Ovis aries: one gene and its partners. The main gene of each other region encodes a partner of the protein of the gene in region 5 in a complex. Links are inferred from orthologs where the notes say so. Each region holds a gene or a part of one and is shown on either strand. Other genes may lie near its edges.

The links.
Region 1: TAF6 (region 5) and TBP share a complex: the UniProt entries of both Homo sapiens proteins name them as parts of the TFIID basal transcription factor complex. The link is inferred for Ovis aries from reciprocal best matches to the Homo sapiens genes TAF6 and TBP.
Region 2: TAF6 (region 5) and TAF10 share a complex: the UniProt entries of both Homo sapiens proteins name them as parts of the TFIID basal transcription factor complex. The link is inferred for Ovis aries from reciprocal best matches to the Homo sapiens genes TAF6 and TAF10.
Region 3: TAF6 (region 5) and TAF7 share a complex: the UniProt entries of both Homo sapiens proteins name them as parts of the TFIID basal transcription factor complex. The link is inferred for Ovis aries from reciprocal best matches to the Homo sapiens genes TAF6 and TAF7.
Region 4: TAF6 (region 5) and TAF13 share a complex: the UniProt entries of both Homo sapiens proteins name them as parts of the TFIID basal transcription factor complex. The link is inferred for Ovis aries from reciprocal best matches to the Homo sapiens genes TAF6 and TAF13.
Region 6: TAF6 (region 5) and TAF4 share a complex: the UniProt entries of both Homo sapiens proteins name them as parts of the TFIID basal transcription factor complex. The link is inferred for Ovis aries from reciprocal best matches to the Homo sapiens genes TAF6 and TAF4.

What each region holds. Positions count from the first base shown.
Region 1 is NC_056061.1:91,733,620-91,737,626, reverse strand, and holds the start of TBP (TATA-box-binding protein), read right to left. Parts: upstream 2,801-4,007; 5' UTR 2,552-2,800; intron 1-2,551. Other genes in the region: PSMB1 (proteasome subunit beta type-1), read left to right, coding at 2,943-3,055. UniProt on the Homo sapiens protein: The TFIID basal transcription factor complex plays a major role in the initiation of RNA polymerase II (Pol II)-dependent transcription.
Region 2 is NC_056068.1:46,195,751-46,198,864, reverse strand, and holds TAF10 (transcription initiation factor TFIID subunit 10), read right to left. Parts: upstream 1,909-3,114; 5' UTR 1,884-1,908; coding exon 1,652-1,883; intron 1,514-1,651; coding exon 1,359-1,513; intron 1,123-1,358; coding exon 1,058-1,122; intron 970-1,057; coding exon 855-969; intron 672-854; coding exon 582-671; 3' UTR 501-581; downstream 1-500. Other genes in the region: ILK (integrin-linked protein kinase), read left to right, coding at 121-270. UniProt on the Homo sapiens protein: The TFIID basal transcription factor complex plays a major role in the initiation of RNA polymerase II (Pol II)-dependent transcription.
Region 3 is NC_056058.1:50,054,608-50,058,767, reverse strand, and holds TAF7 (transcription initiation factor TFIID subunit 7), read left to right. Parts: upstream 1-1,393; 5' UTR 1,394-2,094; coding exon 2,095-3,144; 3' UTR 3,145-3,660; downstream 3,661-4,160. UniProt on the Homo sapiens protein: The TFIID basal transcription factor complex plays a major role in the initiation of RNA polymerase II (Pol II)-dependent transcription.
Region 4 is NC_056054.1:86,372,192-86,374,913, forward strand, and holds the end of TAF13 (transcription initiation factor TFIID subunit 13), read right to left. Parts: intron 1,747-2,722; coding exon 1,576-1,746; 3' UTR 501-1,575; downstream 1-500. UniProt on the Homo sapiens protein: The TFIID basal transcription factor complex plays a major role in the initiation of RNA polymerase II (Pol II)-dependent transcription.
Region 5 is NC_056077.1:36,773,985-36,778,227, reverse strand, and holds the start of TAF6 (transcription initiation factor TFIID subunit 6), read right to left. Parts: upstream 2,801-4,243; 5' UTR 2,754-2,800; exon of another isoform or gene 2,310-2,753; intron 177-2,309; 5' UTR 117-176; coding exon 1-116. Other genes in the region: CNPY4 (protein canopy homolog 4), read left to right, coding at 3,193-3,307. UniProt on the Homo sapiens protein: The TFIID basal transcription factor complex plays a major role in the initiation of RNA polymerase II (Pol II)-dependent transcription.
Region 6 is NC_056066.1:54,836,453-54,839,952, reverse strand, and holds part of TAF4 (transcription initiation factor TFIID subunit 4), read right to left. Parts: intron 1,702-3,500; coding exon 1,554-1,701; intron 1,207-1,553; coding exon 1,092-1,206; intron 60-1,091; coding exon 1-59. UniProt on the Homo sapiens protein: The TFIID basal transcription factor complex plays a major role in the initiation of RNA polymerase II (Pol II)-dependent transcription.

The DNA of each region.
Region 1 (4,007 bases), on a different chromosome or scaffold from region 5:
GAATTTTGAGCATTACTTTGCTAGCATGTGAGATGAGTGCAATTGTGCAGTAGTTTGGACACTCTTTGGCATTGCCTTTCTTTGCGATTGGAATGAAAACTGACCTTTTCCAGTCCTGTGGCCACTGCTGAGTTTTCCAAATTTGCTGGCATGTTGAGTGCAGCACTTTCACAGCAGCATATTTTAGGACTTGAAATAGCTCAACTGGAATTCCATCACCTCCACTAGCTTTGTCCGTAGTGACGCTTCCTAAAACCCAGTTGACTTCACATTCCAGGATGCCTGGCTCTAGGTGAGTGATCACACCATTGTGGTTATCTGGGTCATAAAGAGCTTTTTTGTATAGTTCTTATGTGTATTCTTGCCATCTTTTCTTAATATCTTCTGCTTCTGTTAGGTCCATAGCACTTCTGTCCTTTATTATGCCCATCTTTGCATGAAATGTTCCTTTGGTATCTCTAATATCCTATGGTTCATTTAGGCATAATTGCAGGTTGTAATGCTTGTTAGCTTGCTTCCTTTGTGCTTCACATAATCAATGAGGTTGTGTGCTCCTTAAGGATAGGAAAGATTTTACAGAATTTTTGTATCCAAGACAGTACCTGAATAAATACAATACTTCTCTGTCCATAACCATCAAAGAAAACCCTTTCTTTTATGCTTTGTTTACAGTAAAGTATAGGAAAAGTTTTAATTAAAAAAAGTACTTTTCAAAAATCTTTTTCTGCTTCCAGAATTGCATGTATATATCAGGCAGTCCATTCTATATTAGTCAAAGGCTTGCTTGCTTTTTTTAATTAACATTTTTAAATTGTAAAATATGATATTCATATAAAGAAGTATGTAAACATGTATACAGATTAATAGATGGTATTAAATCAAGTAAGGGCAGTACATAAACCAAGAACTTCCGGATGTACAAGCTGGATTTAGAAAAGGCAGAGGTACCAGAAATCAAATTGCCAACATCCATTGGATCATAGAGAAAGCAAGGGAATTCCAGGAAAACATCTACTTCTGCTTCATTGACTTCACTAAAGCCTTTGACTGTGTGGATCACAACAAACAATGGAAAATTCTTAAAGAGATGGGAATACCAGACCAGTTTATCTATCACCTGAGAAACTTGTATGCAGGTCAAGAAGCAACAGAACCAGACATGGAACAATGGACGGGTTCAAAACTGGGAAAGGAGGACATCAAGGCCGTACACTGTCATCCTGCTTATTTAACTTATATGAAGAGTACATCATGCAAAATGTGTGGCTGGATGAACCTCAAGCTGGAATCAAGATTTCCTGGAGAAATATCAACAACCTCATATATGCAGATGATACCACTCTAATGGCAGAAAGCGAAAAGGAACTAAAGAGCCTCTTGATGAGGATGAAAGAGGAGAGTGAAACAGCTGGCTTAAAATTCAACATTCAGAAAATGAAGATCATGGCATCCGGTCCCATCACTTCATGGCAAATAGACGGGGAAACAGTGGAGACAGTGACAGATTTGATCTTGGGCTCCTAAATCACTGCAGCGACTGCAGCCATGAAATTCAAAGACGCTTGCTCCTTGGAAGGAAAGCTATGACCAACCGAGACAGTGTATTAAAAATCAGAGACATCACTTTGCTGGTAATGTCTGTATAGGCAAAGCTGTGATTTTTCCAGAGTTATGTACAGATGTGAGAGTTGGACCATAAAGAAGGCTGAGTGCCAAAGAATTGAACTGTGGTGTTGGAGGGACTCTTGAGAGTCCCTTGGACAGCAAGGAGATCAAACCAGTCAATCTTAAAGGAAATCAACCCTAAACATTAATTGGAAAGACTGAAGCTGAAGCTCCAATACTTTGGCCACTTGATGCAAAGAGCTGATTCATTAGAAAAGACCCTGACGCTAGAAAAGAATGAGGGCAGGAGAAGGAAGCCTGGAGGAGGGGGGCGGGGGGCAACAGAAGATGGGATGGTTGGATGTGATCAACACAATGGACATGGGTTTGAGCAAATTCTGGGAGATAGTGAAGGACAGGGAAACCTATCGGGCTGCAGTTTATGGGGTTGCAAAGAGTTAGACACGACTTAGCGACTGAGCAACAGCAACCAAGGGCTCCTCTGGTGGCTCGTTGGCCAAGAACCTGCCTGCCAGTACAAGAGACACGGGAGATGGGCGTTCGATCCCTGGGGGAGGAAGATCCCTTGGAGGAAATGTCAACCTGCTCCAGTAGTCTTGCCTGTAAATACCCCATGGACAGAGGAGCCTGATGGGCATAGTCCGTGTGGTCGCAGAGTCGGACACGCCTGATCTACTGAGCAGGCAAACATTAAATCAAGTAAAGAAACCCAGTATTGCTAGCACTACAACCTCCAACCCATCCCTAGCCAAGGAGGACCTTTCCCTCTAGCCAAAGTCAGTTAATTTGCTTGCTTTTGCACATCCACATCCCTCAGTTGCTTTATCCATTCTGCAGTTTATGGATATTTAGCTCATTTCCAGTTTGGGGCCATTAAGAACATCTTTATGAACATTCTTTCACGTCTTCTGGCCAGGGTACATACCTCGGCGTGAAACTGCTGGGTCATGATGTGTGTGTATTTTCAACTATGTCAAGTAATGCCAGTCCCTTTCCGAATTTACACTTCAATAGACTCTTCGAGTTTCCGTTGCTCCATAGTTTTTCCAATGTCTTTGTAAGCTCAGACTTTAAAATTTCTATCCATCACGAGTGATTTCGAATATTTGCCTGGAAAAGAAAGCCTGTACCTCACTGCCAGGTCTCTTCGTAGAGCAGGCAATAGCTACCGACTGGAAAGGGAGGGCTCTGGCCTCCAGGAGCAACGACTGGCGCGAGATAGAGCGGCCGGAGGCAGCGCCGCGGAAACCGGAAACGGCACAATTTCCGGTCGAGGCAGCCATCTTGCCGTGAGACAGCAGGAGAGCAGCCGCGGAATGTTGTCCTCCGTTGCCTCGTACTCGGGCGCGGGCCGAGACCTGGCCATGGAACCGCACAGCTCCGTGGGCCCTTTGCAGCTGCGCTTTTCGCCCTACGCTTTCAACGGAGGGTAAAACCCGCAGAGCCGCCGCTTTCTCTTTCTTCCTCCATATCCCTGCTTAAGTCTGTCTGCCCGGCGCTGCCCTTCCAGTCTCAGGCCTCCCTCTCCGAGGTTGCTCGGCTAGCTCTTGTTCTTCAGGGCTTCACCTTATAGGCGGGTCACTGGATCTTGATGTGGATGGCCAGCTTTACGTAGACAGCAGATAGAAATTGACACCTGACCTCCGCTCTGAAGAGCTTTAAAAATGGACCTGTCTGAATGTGCTTCTCTAGCCAGCAGGCACGGGGCAGGTTGAACATCTGAGATTAAAAGTTAGGGTTGATTGGCCATGTGATTAAATATAGCTGTCTAGCGAAAGTGAAGTCGCTCAGTCGTGTCCGACTCTGCGACCCCATGGGCTGTAGCCCACTAGGTTCCTCCGTCCATGGGATTCTCCAGGCAAGAATACTGGAGTGGGTTTCCATTTCCTTCTCCAGGGGAATCTTTCTGACCCAGGGATCGAACCCAGGTCTCCCGATTGCAGGCAGACGCTTTAACCTCTGAGCCATCAGGGAAGCCCTGTCTAGCTAATAGGTCTAATCAAATCACCATTTTGAGTTGTTTTAAATAGCAGGTAGGATTACTTGCACAGACTTAGTTTCATTGATCAGTGTTTAGTTTTAAGGGCTAGCGTAAGTTCAGGGGAAAAATACTCAGAAGGCGGACCTTTGAATGTGTGTATTCTTGCATGTTGTATGTGAGCTTTTCTTTCTTTTTAACTTACCCGCTTTATCTTAATACTTTTCCTTGACAGTGCACTGAAAGAACTAGGGTTGTGGAAAGGCACTCTCTTTAGGACTCTTCACTGCGAAGAGCTGTGTATTTAAGCATCGTTTATAGTTTGCCAGCCAAATTTTGTACTTTGAAACGTACACACCAAATTAATCTGGTAATCTTTAAGGACCATCCAAAGACCAGATTA
Region 2 (3,114 bases), on a different chromosome or scaffold from region 5:
TGGGGCTGGGCTCCTGCCACATTGATTCAAATACACAGAATCCTGTCCTGAGGGCTAGACGTCTCTCCCGACATGAGACTCAAGTTCTGAGACTCACCTTGTTTTTCCTTGTGTTTGCAGGTGGCATTGGAAGGCCTTCGGCCTACCATCCCACCAGGCATTTCCCCCCACGTTTGTAAACTCATGAAGATCTGCATGAATGAAGACCCTGCTAAGCGGCCCAAGTTTGACATGATCGTGCCTATCCTGGAGAAGATGCAGGACAAGTAGAGCTGGAAAGTCCTTATCTGAACTCCAGAGGTGTCAGGACACGGTTAGGGGAGTGCACCTCCCCAAAGCAGTAGGCCTCTGGTTGCCTCCCCTGCCACTAGTCATGGTACTACCCCAGCCATGGGGCCCATCCCCTGCCCCCATCCCTACCACTGTGGCCCCAAAAGGGAATGGGCTCAAAGCTTTGTCACTTGCCACACGGTGTCTCCCAGCATGGGAGGGATCAGCCCTGCCTGTCACAATAAAGTTTATTATGAAAACAGGCTGGTGTGGGGACAAGAGAACAGACAAGTACATTTAGACTGGGTGGCTCAGGTGAAGTAGTGCGGCTTCTTCACATTGATGCCATACTCGCTGAGGGCAGGGGTCAAGTCCTCCATGGTTAGAGTGTACTTGCGGTCCTGAGGGAAGAGGGAAGAGCACCAGCTGAACACAGGAATTCCAGATTTCAATCCCAGGCAGGTGACCCTGAGTAGGTCTTTCACCTCCCCTAAGGCTTAATTTCCCTCAAAGGGGTTTCAGGATAATTTAAGCCTCTGCTGCTGTAGGAAGTAATTACTGAATCAATGAGCCTCCCCTCACACCTTGCTCTTGCTTCGGGAGCTGCCAGAGGCTGTGCCCTTCATTTTGCAGTGCTGTAGGGCATCGTTGGCAATATCTGAGATGAATTTCTGGGCAGCTAGGGAGATGAGCCGAATTCTGGAGAGAAAAAAATGGTATGAGAAGAGCATAGACAATAAACTCCACACAAACACCCAACACTCTAACCTGCCCAGAGTTTACTCACATGCGTGGGTCGGAGGCCTCAAAGCCAGCACGGTTCAGGTAGTAACCAGTCACTGCATCAGGGATCTGAGAAATCAATTAGACGACTGTAAGCGTTAGCCCTGTGTACAGCGGGGCTGAGAGTCGGGGTAAGGGAAATGGAGGGCAGGCCTGGCTATCAGGAAGCTCCCAGTTTGGGTGGGCAGAAGGGAAAAATCACAAAAGCTAGGAAGAGAAACACAAGAGGATGCTGCAAATCCAGATGGTGTGGCAGAAGTTGGCGTGACAGCGAGTCATTAGCCTTGTTCAGGCAGGAAGCCCACCGTAGGCGTGTAATCCTCCAGCTGCATCAGGAAGTCCACTAGAGGCGTGCTGGACACCACTGGCTTCACCTCTCCGTTGGCCGCGCTTGGCAGCACGTAAACCCCGTTAGACATGGCCCCCTCCGGGGGCGCCGCGCCGCCGGTCGTCACTGGAGCTGGAGGAAAACCAGCAAACTGAGACACGGAGGTGGGAGGCTCGAGGGTTCCGCTAGGTGTGTCTTACCCTCTGCCCTCACCCGCCGCTGGGCCCAGCCCAAAGCGCGGCCCTCGCCCTCACCCGTCCCGGCCCTCACCCGCCCCGCGCCGCTCGGCAGGCTCCCCGGCCCGCGCCGCCACGGCTCCAGTGCCCCCTGCCGCGGCTCCAGCCCCAGGCCCCCCTGACGTCCCCGCGGGGCTGGCCTTGTTCTCCGCGGCGGTGCCGGCGGGCAGCGCGGCGGGGGCCGAGACCGCGGGCGCCGGGCCCGGGGCCGAGGCGGCGGAGGCCGGCGCCGCCTCGGGGTCCGCGCCGGAGCCGCTGCAGCTCATCGGGCCGGTGGGAGAGGCGGCGAACAGAGCCGCTTCCGCTTCCGTTCACCTTACGCACACACCAGGGGTGACGTCACGCGCCCCACGACTCGTTCCTCCCACGCCACGTTCGCTCCTCCCTTAGGCCTCCTTCCTTTATTCCCCGCCCATCCAGCCGCTACCTGACAAAGGCGGGAGGGCGGAGACCAAGTGTTGCGGAACTGGGCTGGCGCGGACATTTCGCGTCCGGACCCGCGGTTCTCCAGTGTGGATCCGCTGGGATGGGAACCCCTCAATGTCGAGGATTCTCTTCTATGGGCTTGAGGCCCCCTCACCCAGCCTGACGTCTAAAATTCTTGCTTTGATGCTCATCGCCCCGACACCTCTCTACTGTTGGTCGCCTGCGTGTCTGCATCTTTTCTAAGTTCCTTTATCCAGCCTTTTAAGGGTTTGTAGTGGAGTTGAATAGCCTCTTTCCCCGCCAGCTGCCCAAAGTGAAGGTAACCGGACAGCTGACACAGTGCTGCTGCAGATGGGGAGAGAGGTACAGTCCACCGTCCGTATAGGTGGTGAAGGGTTGGTAGGATTGGTTCCGGGACTCCCCCGACTCCCGTCCCCAACCCATGTATACCAAAATCCGTGGATGCTCAAGTCCGTTATATGAAATGGCATAGTATTTGCACTGTATACTCTATATAATCTCTAGATTGCTTATAATATCCAATGCGATGTGAATAGTTTACTGGTGCATGGTAAATTCAAGTTTCGTCTTTTATAATTGGAATTAAAAAATATATATATCTTCAGTTCACGGTTGGGTGAATCTGTGGATGGAGAACCCGAGGATACAGAGGGATGGCTGTCTTTCAGTCTTAATAAACAATTTATGTAAAATCACGGCTAGTGAAAGAGTGGGGTTTTCAACACAGCAAAAATTTATTTTTGTCAGTCCTGAGCTAGGGTCTGCAAATACAGAGTTAAGTAGGAGAAGGTTCTACTCCTCCGGGCACCAGTGGTCTTGCAAAGGGAGGCATTAACAGTTAAACTTGCCATTTCACCAATATATGGGAGTTAAAATACTGGAGGTAGACACAGGGTGTGCAGTGCAAGGGAGGAAGGGAACTAATAGTTGCTGCCTACATCTGTGTGTTAGGCATTCCATTAAGTTTATTCCACTTAATGATTTCCTGAATATTAGAGGCAGGTATCAATATCCTCACTTAACAGATGAGGAAAAAGTCTCCAAGAGTTG
Region 3 (4,160 bases), on a different chromosome or scaffold from region 5:
GAAAAACCAAACTGGGGTCAAGCCATTTAAATTCCACCCCATGATACGCAATATAAGTCTGCTGAAACCAAAAGGGACACATTCACATCTGCTGTTTGCAAACCTCCAGCCTCCTAACAATTTGTAGGACCCTTGACTGGAGAGGAAATGTCTATCAAGTGACTCTCTTTCATTTTAAGGCAATACAGAATGTATTTTCTCCCACAAATTATTAGAGGATTTAGATTATATTTATGTTCTTCGGATGGGTCAATTTTTTCATTGAATTACCAAATATTTCTTACGCCCCACGTTTTGATATGAGGCAATGGGACCAGATGAGCACACGGTTAGCCTTCTAATTATCATGGACCTTCCAATCTTCGGTGAGGGAGACAATAAGTACAAAATAAATAAAGTGAATTTTCTACATGTTAATCACATCTTAAGCGAGTTCCCTTAAACTTAAGATGCAGGTGTCGATATTTTAGAGAACAGAATTTTAATTTTAATGATAGTGGAACTCTACTAAATTGACCCTATTAATAAATGGAAATGAACAGAAGTGAAAACTCTTACACTGTTAGTCCAAAGTACTATAAATCCATGTTAAGAATACCTGACAACCTAAAGAGGCAAGTAGAAAAGTTAGCTCAACAGTAGGGGTGAATTTTTTTTTAATTCCAAACTAAAAAATTACTGGCAAATTAGTGGCAGGCGATAATACTTCAGTTAAAGGTTAATCAGACCATTCGTCTTTCAGACAACGGTCCTAAATGAACACGGTCCTCCCGAAGAACACTACGTTCCCTGTTTACACTTATACCTACACCTAACACATTAAAAGAGAAATCACCCTTGTTGCCTCAGGAAGTCTCCAAAACACAAACAGACCGTGAGTCACAGGCCCCCTAAGGACACTTTAATTATCAACAAACACAGAATTACATAGTGGGCAGCACGTCCTCACGCCACTGATTCGGGTACTTTAAAATCTACAGGCATGGTTAGTTATGAATTCTTTTATCGGCTCCAGATTTAAGAATATAGTCTGGGAGACTCTGAGATGTTTCCAGAAACAAACACTATTTCCGCACGGACGCCCTATCTCCAGTAATCACACGGAAGCCTAAGGAAGTAACCGGCCCCAGGCGAGCTAGTTAAAGCTCTGGCTTAGCAGAGGCAGGCGAGACAATCTTTCTTAGAATTGCTTTCTGTTTTAAACACTTTAAAGACAGTGATTGTTTTGGAAACATGATCGCTACCTTCTCCTAAAACCAAAATCTCGCGAGACAACAAGTCACGCCGAACGGCGTAATCGCGCGTTGCGCCTGCGCGCGCTGAAACGCCCTGCACTTCCGCCGAAGGCGTGCTGTCACTCACGGACTCCTCCTGTCCTGCGGGGTGACGTAACGCTTTCTTTTCCGCTAGCTCTGCAGCTCCGGACGGAGGCACGCCGAGCTGCGGAGTTGCAAAGTCTGGCGCTCGGAGCTGCGGTTCTCTGCGAGATTTCACCTTGCCAGTTCCGAGTCATTTCACCGATAATCAATAGCGGATCGCTTTGCCAAGTGCCGGGAAGAACAAAGGAATCAAGAAAGAGACGCTCTGCTCCCGGCCTTGTTCTGAGTGGCTTTTTCCGCTCGTTCCTGTCCGGAGAATCTGGATTTATAATCGTCACTGGATTGTAAGTACCCGAGGCGAAGAGAGCTCACTACGCCCCGCGTTTTGAATATCTTTGTTCCGGGAGAGTTTGTGGTTTGGGCGTATCTGCTGAGCCTTACTTTCTGTGCTGAAAATCCGTAGGAGCTGCCATTTGCTTTCTCTGCATTGTTCTGCAGCGGCATCTAGAGGTTGAAACTTGGCGTTGCAGCTAATAGATTTAAATGGACATAAACGAGTAAGACAATGCATCAGTAACAACTGGTGTTCAGTCACGGCGTTTTCAAAAAGACTTGGGACTTAATTAAAAACAGATATATAGCTGATGTTCTACCTAGAACTCTTTGTAATTAAGGATTCAAGTTTATACAGAACTGGTCTTTCTGGTGAAGTACCTGGAACTTTTTAGTGCAACAAGTGGTTATTAGAGAAAAAGTGAATTACAAAGAAATAAAAATGAGTAAGAGCAAAGATGATGCTCCTCATGAACTAGAGAGCCAGTTTATCTTACGCCTACCCCCGGAATATGCCTCTACTGTGAGGCGGGCAGTACAGTCTGGCCATGTCAACTTGAAGGACAGACTATCAATTGAGTTACACCCTGATGGGCGTCATGGAATTGTCAGAGTGGACCGAGTCCCTTTGGCCGCAAAGTTGGTAGACCTGCCGTGTGTTATGGAGAGTTTGAAAACCATTGATAAAAAAACCTTTTACAAGACAGCTGATGTCTGTCAGATGCTTGTCTCTACAGTTGATGGTGATCTCTATCCTCCTGTGGAGGAACCAGTTGCTACTGCTGATCCCAAAGCAAGCAAAAAGAAGGATAAGGACAAAGAGAAAAAATTTGTTTGGAACCATGGAATTACTCTGCCTCTGAAAAATGTGAGAAAGAGAAGATTCCGTAAGACAGCAAAGAAAAAGTATATTGAGTCTCCAGATGTGGAAAAAGAAGTAAAGCGGTTGCTGAGCACAGATGCTGAAGCTGTCAGTACCCGCTGGGAAATAATTGCTGAAGATGAGACAAAAGAAACAGAAAATCAAGGCCTTGATATCTCTTCCCCAGGAATGTCTGGCCACAGGCAGGGCCATGACTCCTTAGAACATGATGAGCTTCGGGAGATATTCAATGACCTCAGCAGCAGCAGTGAAGATGAAGATGAAACACAACATCAAGATGAAGAAGATATAAACATCATAGACACTGAAGAAGATCTGGAAAGGCAGCTACAGGACAAACTAAATGAATCAGATGAACAGCACCAAGAAAACGAGGGAACCAATCAGCTGGTTATGGGAATTCAGAAACAGATTGATAACATGAAAGGCAAGCTCCAAGAGACCCAGGACAGAGCAAAGAGACAGGAGGATCTCATCATGAAAGTGGAAAACCTGGCTCTCAAAAACAGATTTCAGGCTGTGCTGGATGAACTGAAACAAAAGGAAGACCGGGAAAAGGAGCAGCTCAGCTCTTTGCAAGAAGAGCTAGAATCACTCCTAGAGAAGTGAGGAGTGGTTTCATACTTAATTTCATTACTGTGAGAGGTCAGCATTGAAAGAGAAAATTTTTTTTGTTTTCATTGCTTGTAAAACTTTGCAGTTCGCAGTTTCTTCCACTGTCTTCTATTGGATTTGTCTTGTAGACAAATGTGAACTTCTATCTCATTTGTCTTTTGGAACCACTTTGCTAGGTGTTTATCCCATAGGAAGTAGGAATGTATAGACAGATAAATGTGGAGAAGTTGTAGGATTAGTGGAGTGAAAAGTTCAACTTTGTTATTAATCACAGCTTCATTGCAGGACTTTGTGGCTGTTTCTCCGTTTAGAAGCTTCCATTGCTACTCTGTGATGACATCTGAGGTAAATCAGTAGAGTCTAGTCTGGAGGCAGTAAAGTTTGTTTGCATATGTTTTTTGATGCTATAGCTAATTTTCCAGCTATTCAAAGCAATTTTTTCGTATTTTTGCATTGCAAGTCATTTCGTAACGTTCAACAATAAATAAAAGCAAGTTAAGTTTCACTTTATAATGTGTCTTGCTCTTTTAGGGGTAATGGATATTATCCTCTTCTGAAGTGGTTTCCTGGTGGGGTTTAATATATTGACCAATTGGATTCTGTTTTGTAGGAAAAGAAGCAGTTATGTTCGATTTTAAGAAAAGAACACAGCAAGGGCAAAGAAATCAGGCAGTATCACCTGCTCCATTTGGAGGTTAGGAAATAAAGAGCCTTCCTAAACTATCTGAATGTTTTTTCCAGCCTAATCTCCCATTCTTCCACTGTTTTCAATCCTGAGCTTATTTACATTTTTTTCAAGGAGTTTAATTACTCCTCTTCCTCTATAATAGTCTAATGGGATAAGTACTCTTATGCACCTGTCATACCAGAGTCTAAGTTACCTGTTGCTCATATCCTTACTAAGCTGTTAATTCACTGAGATTAGGCATTTTGCCTTGTTAGTCACTGTAAAGAAGAGTAAAGCAGTTAAAAATCACAAGGTCAGGTGATGTAGTGCCTGAGTTGAGTGA
Region 4 (2,722 bases), on a different chromosome or scaffold from region 5:
AGAGGTCTCTCTCAGCCATGTGAGCACAGGGAGAAGGCAGCTATCTGCAGTCCAGGAAGACTCCTTACCAGTACCTGACCTATTGGCACCCTGATCTCAAGACTTCTAGTCTTCAGAACTGTGAAAACATAAATTTCCATTGTTTAAGCCAGCCACTCAGTCTGACATTTTTGTTATGGGAGCCCAAGCTGACTAATACAGGCACCCAGTGTAACTCCACTCTGCCGGTTACCACCAGGTCATTCTTCAGGGTCAAGCAGACTCTGACTAGCAAAAATAGTAACATACTGATCTTTTATTATTCCACGCTCAATCTTGATTTCAGTTTAAAGTAGATTTTTAACTGGTTTTTGCTTTTTCAAATAAAAATATCAGGCCAGGTATCTTGAATCTCACAATCAATTCAGGAGCATTACAAGAATAATACAGAAAAAAAAGTTTTTAGTGAATTATAAGGGAGAGAAAAGCTGATAAATCATATAGTCAAACTCAAGCAGTAATCTTTTTAATTTTTCATCCTTTATTCTCTACATTGATAGGTTAAGAAAGTGAAACCTTCCTAAATACTGATTCATAGACAATGCTTATAAGCGGCACACGAAACAATCAGTTTCACAAAGAGTAATATCCAGTGATCCCTTTAAATGCAATTTTAATCCTTACTTTCAGCTAAGTGCAATAATACAATGAGCTAAATACACACAAAATTTGTGAACTACAAAAGTGGTTTCCATAGCCACACATGGTTTTAGTCAAGTATACATTTTCAGAATAAATAAATACTAACAAATATGTTAATAAAACACTACCCGAAATGCTTACCTGCCATCAACTTTTCAGCAATGCCATTCCTGCTACTGAAAGCACTTTCTGAAGTTTTAATCTGACCTGGGAAAACGAGTTCTTTTAAAATCTGACAAACAGTATATTATAAACCCCAAAGATTTTTAATCCAGTATGTCTTTCAACACAGAACCATTCATAGGAAATTCTTAGTTTCTCAAAAAATAAAAAAAATCACTCTTGTTATCCAAAGAAGAGTATTAAATTATCTTAAGACAAATAAACACTCCTACAAAAGACTGTACTTTCTAATATTGTTTTCTCCTTAAAAGAAACACAAACCAGTTCACCATCTTTTAATAACTTACAATACTTTGGTCTAAAAGCTTTAGAAATATATGAAACACATCTTAGCTATCAAAGTCAAAGGTGCCATTTAGATTTCACAGATTAAACAGCTATAGTACAACCTACAATGGCACAAGTATACATAAATATTAATTCATCATTGAGATGGTCAAGAGTCAGAGGAAACTGAATGGTTTGCAAACCAAAGGTACTTTGACTTACATGTGGTCATTAAAATCTAATATGTCATTCAAGTAGGGTAATATAATGGCAGGCAATTAAAGGCTCATATATCACTCTAAAATTGAAAACATGAAAATAAAGCCTGAAAACTTTGTGGTTCTCCATTTTTCATTCACATGGTTAGGTATCAGGGCCTTACTGTGGAAAATACAGTTATTAAGTATGGTTTCCCCAGAACATAATGAAGCTTCAGAAAAGATGTCAAGATCCATAGTTTGCTTCATCAAATGCTTTTCTAGCGCGTTTCAATTCTTCATTCATAGTAAGCAAGTCTTTAACCCTAGCAAACTTTCTTGGGTCCTTTCGAATCAAGAAGACGATATCTTCAACTTGTACCCGACCTTGTCTTCCAATTGACATTGCCTTATGAGTCTATTACAAAGAAACATATTAAATTCAATTAATTTTTCAAAAATCTAACATTTTATTTTTTTAACTATAATGCTGGTGAGTTTGAAGACTTCTCTTCTAATTATTATAGCTATTCATTTGTGAATTGTCTTTCTATTAATGTTCTTTGTCCACTTCTACCATTATTAGCAATGTTTCAGTGCTTGACAGACATTTTTTACACTAAAGTCATTAAAACTATCAAATCCATAGATGCTTCTTTTTGTATTTTGATATACATATAGTTGATCTTCATTTGTATAAAATGATTTTGTAATTTCTCTGTAACCACCCACTTCATTTAAACTTTGTGTCCATCTTGGTAGCTAATAAATATTGGTGGCTTTTCTTTAGACAAATCTCATCCCCTATGATTACATAATCATACTGTGTAAAACAAAAAACTCCTTGCAGCATTATTTCTAATGACTGAAAAAAAAGAAACTAAATATTTAATAAGGCATTGAACAAATTTGAGTACATCTAGCCAATTAATATTATGAAGCCATCAAAAATATTAAAAGTATTCTGCAGTGACACAGGGAAAGCAGGCTCTATGACTGTATGTACTACATGATTTCAATTTTGTAAAGTTTTAAAACGTGTAAAAAGACAAAAGAATATTCACAAAAATCTCAGCATCAGTTATCCCTTGGTAGAAGGGTTATAGCTTTCTATTTTCTTCTGGGCACTCTTTAATACTTTCTAAATTTAATATAAGCATATATAAAATAAATTTAATAATACTTTCTAAATTTAATATAAGCAGAAAAAGATTTTTTAAAATGCATACTCTCTGACCCAGTAATTTTACTTCTATTATTCTTTATGAAGGAAATAATCTAAAACAAAGGGTAAAAATTCACAGGAACTGAACACAGCCAAACTCCGTATACCCATATATATACATGTATATCTCTCTCCATCCTTAATGATAAACGGTAACCAGAAACTTCCA
Region 5 (4,243 bases):
AGCAGCTGGCAGGTCTCCTCCTGAATCTGAGCGATGCCCATGGACTCGGCCACCACCTTCATGGACTCCGATGGCAGCACAGTGTTGCTCAGCTTCAGCTTCTTCTCCTCAGCCATTCTGGAGCCCCTCCTCCCCTCCCCGGAAGGATGATGCCCCAGGGCAGAGAGATGGAGACCCTGGCAGGGGTTGAGAGGAAACTTGAGAGTGAGACCTAAAGAGGGGCTGTCCAGTCAGGAGAGGCCACCACAAGGGGAGAGCAGTGGAGCATGAGGGGGATGGAGTTGGGGGATGTCTTCTGTCCATCCTCACATGAGCAGCACTCACTGAACAGGAGGTAGGACTTGGACCCAACTGGACGCAATTTATTGAGCTCTAGTTCTGTGCCAGGCACAGTACAAGTCAGGTATAGCAGAACGATCTCAGTTCTTAGTTTCAATCCCAGCCCCAGCACTACCTAGCAGTGTTGTCTAGGCAGGCTACTTAAATGCTCCTGGCTTTGGGTTTCTTCTCTGTAAAATGTGCAAAGTGTCCTTTTTACCTCAGGTGGTTGACATGCCTACCTTCATGTCTCTTGCCCCTTCTTGCATCATTATTCATGCTTGACAAATATAAAATGTTGGTTAAATACAACTTGCCCTGTCTGAGCCTATGTGCCCCTACCATTGAATGTGATGAGAAAATACACAGCCATGTTGACCAATCTGCACTTTAAATTCATGGCCACAAACTTCAGATGGGCTCTTGATGCTGCGCTGATGGTCACAGAGCTCAGTGCACTCAGGTTCCATCCCACCTGTCATCTCCTCCTCCCTGATTTTTGGCCATCAGAAGAGACTTCCCCAGGCTCCCATCGCTATGTCCACCCGCTGAGCATCTCTGGCACCCACATGCTCTGTCTTACCTGTTACTATAGAGGTTCTCGTCTCGCCCCTCCCCAACTCCTCTCCTTCTCTTGAACCTACCCCAGTCAGGATTTTGACTCCTGCTCTTGGCTTTCCTCCTCCTTCACTAGCCCCTTTACATTGCCTTTGCTGGTTCTTCCTCTTCTCCTCATCTGCCTGATGCTGGAATGCCCTGCCTTTGGTCCTCATATAGCTATGAGGTATACATATTCTCTTGATGACCTCAACCATTCTCACAGCTTTCAGTATTGCATACAGGCTAAGGATGGTAAATTTATATCCCCCACCCAGAACTTTATTCCCAACTCCAGACTTGTATATTTAACTGGCTACTTAAAATTTCTTCTGAACTCAACTCCTGACATCCCCCTCCCCACCTGCTCCAGCCTCAGCTTTCCTCATCTTCATAGCAATGCCATTAACCCAGATGCTTATTCATCATGTGAGCCCTCACCGCAGACCCATCAGGTGATCCGACTTGATCCCTCTGCTCCCACTGCGTGGCCAGCTCACCATTACCCACCTGCTGGGGAACCTTAAGAGCCTCCTGACAAGGTCTTCCTGCTTGCATCCTTGCTCCCTACATCTATTCCCAACCTAGCAGCCAGAATGATTCTGTCAAAATATAAATCAGATTGGGTCATTTCTCTGCTCGAAACCCTGTACTGGCTCCCAGTGTGCCACAGCATGAATACAAAATCCTTATTTCGGTCTTCGGGGTCCTTTATGATTTGCTATCTCCCCATCAAGTCTCTGACCTTTCCTTTCCTTCTTCCACTATGATCCAGCCCCATGGTCCTCCTTGCTGTTCCAAGATGCCAGGCATGTTTTTGCTTTGTGGTCTTGCTCTGTTCCCTCTGCCTGGAATGCCCTTCCCTAGATGTCCCCAGGCTGCCTATTCCCATTACTCTGTTTAATACTGCACCCCACCCCGGCTCTGCCTTTTTTTTTTTTAAATTCCCATGGAATTTAACGTCTGCTGATACATACTGTATTACTTCTTATGCTTCTCACTACATCGCCCCTTCCCTTCTATGTGTGGACAGAGAGCTTTGTTATGTTCACTGATGTATGCAGAGTCCCCAGACAGATACTCAACAAATACCTGCTGAATATATGAGTTGTAAGGCTTAGAGACTAGGAACTCACTAAGGACTCGGTACCATTATTATCGAACAAGACATAGGCCCAAGCTTGGCCATAATGTTCACTTGAACCTGGCATTAGGAAGTCTAATGTCAAAAGTGTTTAGGAGCGACTGCAAGGTGGTGAGGGGCAGGTGTGGGCCTGATGGAGGGGCGAGAAGAGGGGAGGGAAAAACAATTTCGTTCTTCTCAACCCATCCCAGGTCTCCTCCCCCACTTTTATAAATCTTATCTGCAGAGGACACATTTATTCAACACATACTCTAGACCTCGAGCCGAGTAAAGAGGAGGCGGTCGTGTCCCAGTACCCTGATGAGCTCCTACTAATCCTTCGATAGCCCGCGGTACCCTCTGCCAGTGTAAAGGCTCACAAAACACGCCACGGCCTCAGGAAACCTCAGGTCACTGGAGCGGCAAGGAGGCGTCACAGAAGATTAACTTCATCTAGATCCGTGTAGCATTCCCCAGCAGGGAAGCGGGTCGAAGGTTCTCCAGGCAATGGGTACAGCGCGAAAGAAAGCGTACAGAGCCCACCTCATCCCCCAACATCCCTCCAGTGCAAACACACAGAGCCCCCACGCACACGGACACTCAACCAACCGTCCCCCTCTGGGTCCCCACACGGGCCCTTCAAAGAGTCTAGACCCGGGTACCACTCAGACCCGCCCCCGCCAGCCGAACGCCCAGCGCAGGAAAAGCCTCTCACCGCCGCCAAAGCGCCGCTCACCCGGCGCTCGGCGCCATATTGGCCCCGCCCCCTCCGGGAGCAGGTCCTGGCAGAGACCGAGAGCGGGTCCCTTGCCCCTTCCCCGAGCCGGAGTGAGCTCCCTAGTCTCAGAGCCTGAAATGATATAAAAACGGTGTCTCTATGCTTGCGTGTAAGGAGCACACTCTCTTGCTGTAATTACTTCAGTTTATTCTTTCACTATGCGGCGGCCAGGACCTGCGGGAGGCGCCACAAAACCAGGTGGGGAAGCCCAGAGCGCAGCGAGGCCCCGCCCTCTTTCGAGGCGGCACTGCGCGTGCGCCTCCCGTGCCAGGCTGGATTAATGTTGCCGCCGACCGCCTGGCGATTTAAAGGGCCCGCTGCCTGCTCGAAGTTGGTTTGAAAGCAAGGGGTGGTTAGCTGTGGACGGCACTTGGTCATGGGACCTGTGCGGTTGGGAACGTTGCTTTTCATTTTGACTGTGTACGGTGCTTGGGCTGGGACGCCGAAGGAGGAGGACGATGACACAGAACGCTTGCCCAGCAAATGCGAAGGTATCTAAAGGGAGTAGCCCCTATTCGCATCCTTCTGCCCTACCTCCTTCGTCTGGGCCAGACCAAATGGAACGTGATGGGTGGGTCACTCGACCTCCTTGAGGACCTGAGGAAGGTTCTGATGGAGCCTGGTGGAATTCGAATGGGGCCAACAGAGGGAACGCATAGCGCTACCCCCAAACTATGGCACTCCAATTCCCATGAGACATCCAGAAGGGGGGTGGGGGGGTTGCCTGCTTTTTCTTGCTGGTTTGGGCCCCAGTGGCTTGTGGGAATTGTAGTTCAGACTATCGGCCCGATCGCCCACTCCAGTCAGCATCTTCTCTGTGTGTGTGCGTGTGTTTCCCCCAAAGGACCAGAGCTAAATCTGAAGATCCTGCAGGAGTGAGCTGTCAGGCTCATTACCTTGTAGATATCCTCTGCTCCACCCCAGCAGAGACGCTCCCAAATTACAGGCCCTACGCCCTCCTGCGGGGGTTTGAGAGTGAATAAATCAGGCTTTGAAGCTCATAAAAGACAGAGGTGGCCAAACAACTGGGAGAGGTTCCGCATAACTGTGAGGCTTTGCAGAGCGTCTGCACTGTGTGGATTTTTCATCGAGCAGCATCTTCTGTAGCTGCATCTGTGGGACCAGCTGGGAGGGGGCACTTCAGAGCTGAGCCGCGGAGTGCCCTGGTTCCCTAGTTGGTTGCCTTCTTGGCTTTAATTTCTTCCTGGATTCTATTCCCCTTTGCCTTACTCCACCCTGCATTTCAGTATCAGTGTTCTTCATGACATGGTCCTAACCGCTCCTTTCCTTTCATTTGTGTTCTCACTCTTAACCTGCTACACCTGTCAAGTCTTTCTAAACACAGGCTCAGTTGAGTCCCTCCTTGCTTTAACACCTCTTCAGGCCTCCTGCTGTGATTAGACTCCACGTTTTTGGCACATCATTCA
Region 6 (3,500 bases), on a different chromosome or scaffold from region 5:
TTTCTTCTGACAGGTTCACTCCAGCCATGGACGCTACGTCATTGATGTCATCATCGTCCCTTCAGGAAACAAGAGGCAGCGACTCTAACTCAATGAGGGGTAGAACTCTGCGAAACTCTGACCCTCGAGCACCACTTTCTAACCACTGGAAAGGCACTAACTTATCCTGCATCCTCCTGACCCCCGCCTGGAACCTGCAGCCTCGCGAAGCACCTGGTCACTGTGGAAGAATTGGTTCTAGACAACAAGACCTGGGCGCTGGGCGTGCTGCTGCCATTGTGCATCACTGGCCCCAGGGCAGGTGGGCAGCCCCAGCTATGGCTTTCCCAGAACTGTCACCTGACTGTTCAGCAGGGACCCAACCCCACCAGGCCCATCTGGTTGACCTGCTCTGCATAGCTGGCTCCCTCACCTGCAGAAGGAAGCATGGTCTCTGGGAGCCCTCGTTTCTTTCCTCTCTGACCCACCAGTAGACGTGTCTCCCAGCTCCACAACCTCCCTCACCCTCATGAGCATCCTTCCCACCCTGCCTGGCCCCCACCTCCTCGTCCTGCCTGGAGCCCAGCTCTAATGTGGGCCCCGAAGGCTCCCAGTGCTGCCAACACCAGGCCTGCTCCCTAACCGTTTGGGGCCGGAGCGTCTGTGAAGGGAAGGACCAACAGGCCCCCAACATGTGCACACTTCACCACCTCTAGACTGAAACCAGAGGAGATAACACAGCCATTCCTAGGGCAACACTCAGACCAGCTGCCCGTCAAGAAACCAGAGCGCAGAACCTCTAAAGGCTGTGAAACTGATGGGAGGTCACAGGATGGGTCCTCTATGAGGACCAAGATGCACTCAGAAGTCTGAGCCGTCGTATCTCAGAAACAAACCTCCTGCCAGCTTGCACAGAGTCAGCTGGCTTGCCTTCCCACCCTGTGTCTGCAGCAAACCTCCCCGAGTTGCTTAGTGGGAAAACACACGCATGGAGATCAGAGCTGAGCGTGGAGGGAACACAGCTTCAAAAGGTGCCACAGAGCAGTCGCTCCTAGGCACAGGCCGGCACCCACGTGGCCTTCCCTCTGGCGCCTCTAGTGCACACTCCTTACCGAAACGAGCCTCCCCCGGGCTCCTTGAGTTTATTTTTCTGTGCAGCAGCAGCTTGTGCGGAGACAGTAGAAAGAGCTTTGGTTCCAGGTAACACAGCAGGTTTCACCACAGGGACTGCAGAGCAAGACGCAAGAGTGTACCCCCTGCACAGACTCGCGCCAAGGCTGAGTGGGCCGAGGGAGGCCATTACCCCCAACCCGCCACGAGGAAGATTCCTAAACCGTAAGAAACACCGTTACTAACTCTAAACTAGAGTAAAAATGCAGGGAGCCTCTCTCAAGCACTTATTTTCCTGCACTTCATCAAACTTTTCGAGGTGTAAGAATGACTGCTGGTAAGGAATCCCGTCCTCTAAAAACCATGCTGCCAGGGTGGGGACTGAAGGGCACATGTGAAGCAGCCAAGCTTGAGCTGTGAGTGCCACAGTGATGAGGACCAGGCGGACAGGGTCAGGCGCTCACCTGGCTGCAGCTGGTTCAGCTGGATCTGCTGGGGCGTGGTGAGCACGATGCGGTTGTGGGGCTGCCGGAGCGCGACCATGGGCGTCTGCGTCAGTGTCACCTGCGGCGGCCGGATCAGCGCTCCAGGCTTGGGTGGTGGCTGGATCACCTGGAGAGAGCCCGCGGGGCGCGTGAGCACACACCCCCACCCCCAAGGGGGCTGCCGGCACCCATCCCCAGCCCAGGGTCCCGGCCGTCCAAAGGGACCAAGCAGGTTGGATGGTACCCCAGGTCTAGTGCCTCCACACCACCTCGAGCTCCTGGAGCAGAGCCGCATGTGGGGCCCTGAGGTCAGCACCCAGGGGACACGGTCCGGAGAGCTTCTGAACCAGCGGGAACAAGCAGCTTCTCCCCAGATGCCAGCATGGGTGCCAGGGCCGCCTGAGACCCACCACAGCCTCAGGCCAGATGCTCAAAACCCAGCTTCTGAGTTTTACAACAGTCACCTGGGGGCTTGCCCTGTGCTACAAGCACTCGAGGAGGAGGCTGGGGGGGGCGGTGCCCTGGACCACATTATCTCTGCGATAAATCCTGTGGAAATTCACAACATCCGGAAGAACAGATACACGGTGGCCCCCAGAGGTGCAGGCCACGTTTTGGCACAAGCTCAGGGAAAACCTCAGGGTTTCCTGTCCCCACAGGCTTCAAGGGCAGCAGGTGATGATCGCAGTGCCTGACTCTGCTATGTCTCATCTTTCTGCTGCAATGAAGCATGATTAAAGCAGAGCCCTCCCCTCTGGAAGAGGGGCTCAGGGAGCCCTGCCCTCACACTGGCTCAAGGCACACCGGCTCCAGCCGTGGCCAGCAGACACTTCTCCATCTCTGTGGAGCCCATCTCCCTCACCATCAACGAAGGCAGAAAGTAACACAGATTTCAACTTGAGCAGGTGAGAAACCAGGACTCCGCTCATGACTCTGATCACCCACCTGAGTATCAGTTGGGCGTTATCATAAAATACACACTCTACAACCTATGAAAGTAACACAAAGACCTCCATTGTTTTATTAAATATTTTAACTGTCTATAGGAACATTCAAAAAAATCTAAGATCATGGCATGTGGTCCCATCACTTCATGGCCAACAGATGGGGAAAAAGTGGAAACAGCACCATATTTTCTTTTCTTGGGCTCCAAAATCACTGCAGACAATGATTACAGCCATGAAATGAAAAGACACTTACTCCTCGGGAAAAAAGCTATAACAAACCTAGACAATGTACTAAAAGACAAAGACATCACACTTTGCCAACAAAGGTCCATATAGTCAAAGCTAGTTTTTCCAGGAGTCATGTACAGATGTGAGAGCTGGACCATAAAGAAGGCTGAGAGCTGAAGAAGTGATGCTTTTGAACTGTGGTGTTGGAGAAGACTCTTGAGAGTTCCCTGGACTGCAAGGAGATCAAATCAGTCAATCCTAAGGGAAATCAACCTTGAATATCCATTGGAAGGACTGATGCTGAAGCTGAAGCTCCAATACTATGGCCACCTGATGTGGAGAGACGACTCACTGGAAAAGACCCTGATGCTGGGAAAGACTGAAGGCAGAAGGAGAAGGGGACAACAGAGGACGAGATGGTTGAATGGCATCACTGACTCAATGGACATGAATGTGAGAAAGTTCTGGGAGATGCTGAAGGACAGAGAAGCCTGGCATGCAGCAGTGCACGGAGTGGCAAAGAGTTGGATACCACTGAGCAACTGATAAACAACAGTAGGAACAAAGGACCTTCCCAGGTGACGCAGAGGTAAAGAATTTGTCTTCAGTCCAGGAGACACGGGTTCGATCCCTGGGTCAGGAAGATCCCCTAGAGGAGTAGTGGCTAGCCACTCCAGTATTCTTGCCCAGAAATCCCCATCGACAGAGCAGCCTGGAGGGCTACAGTCCATGGGGTCACAACGACTGAGCA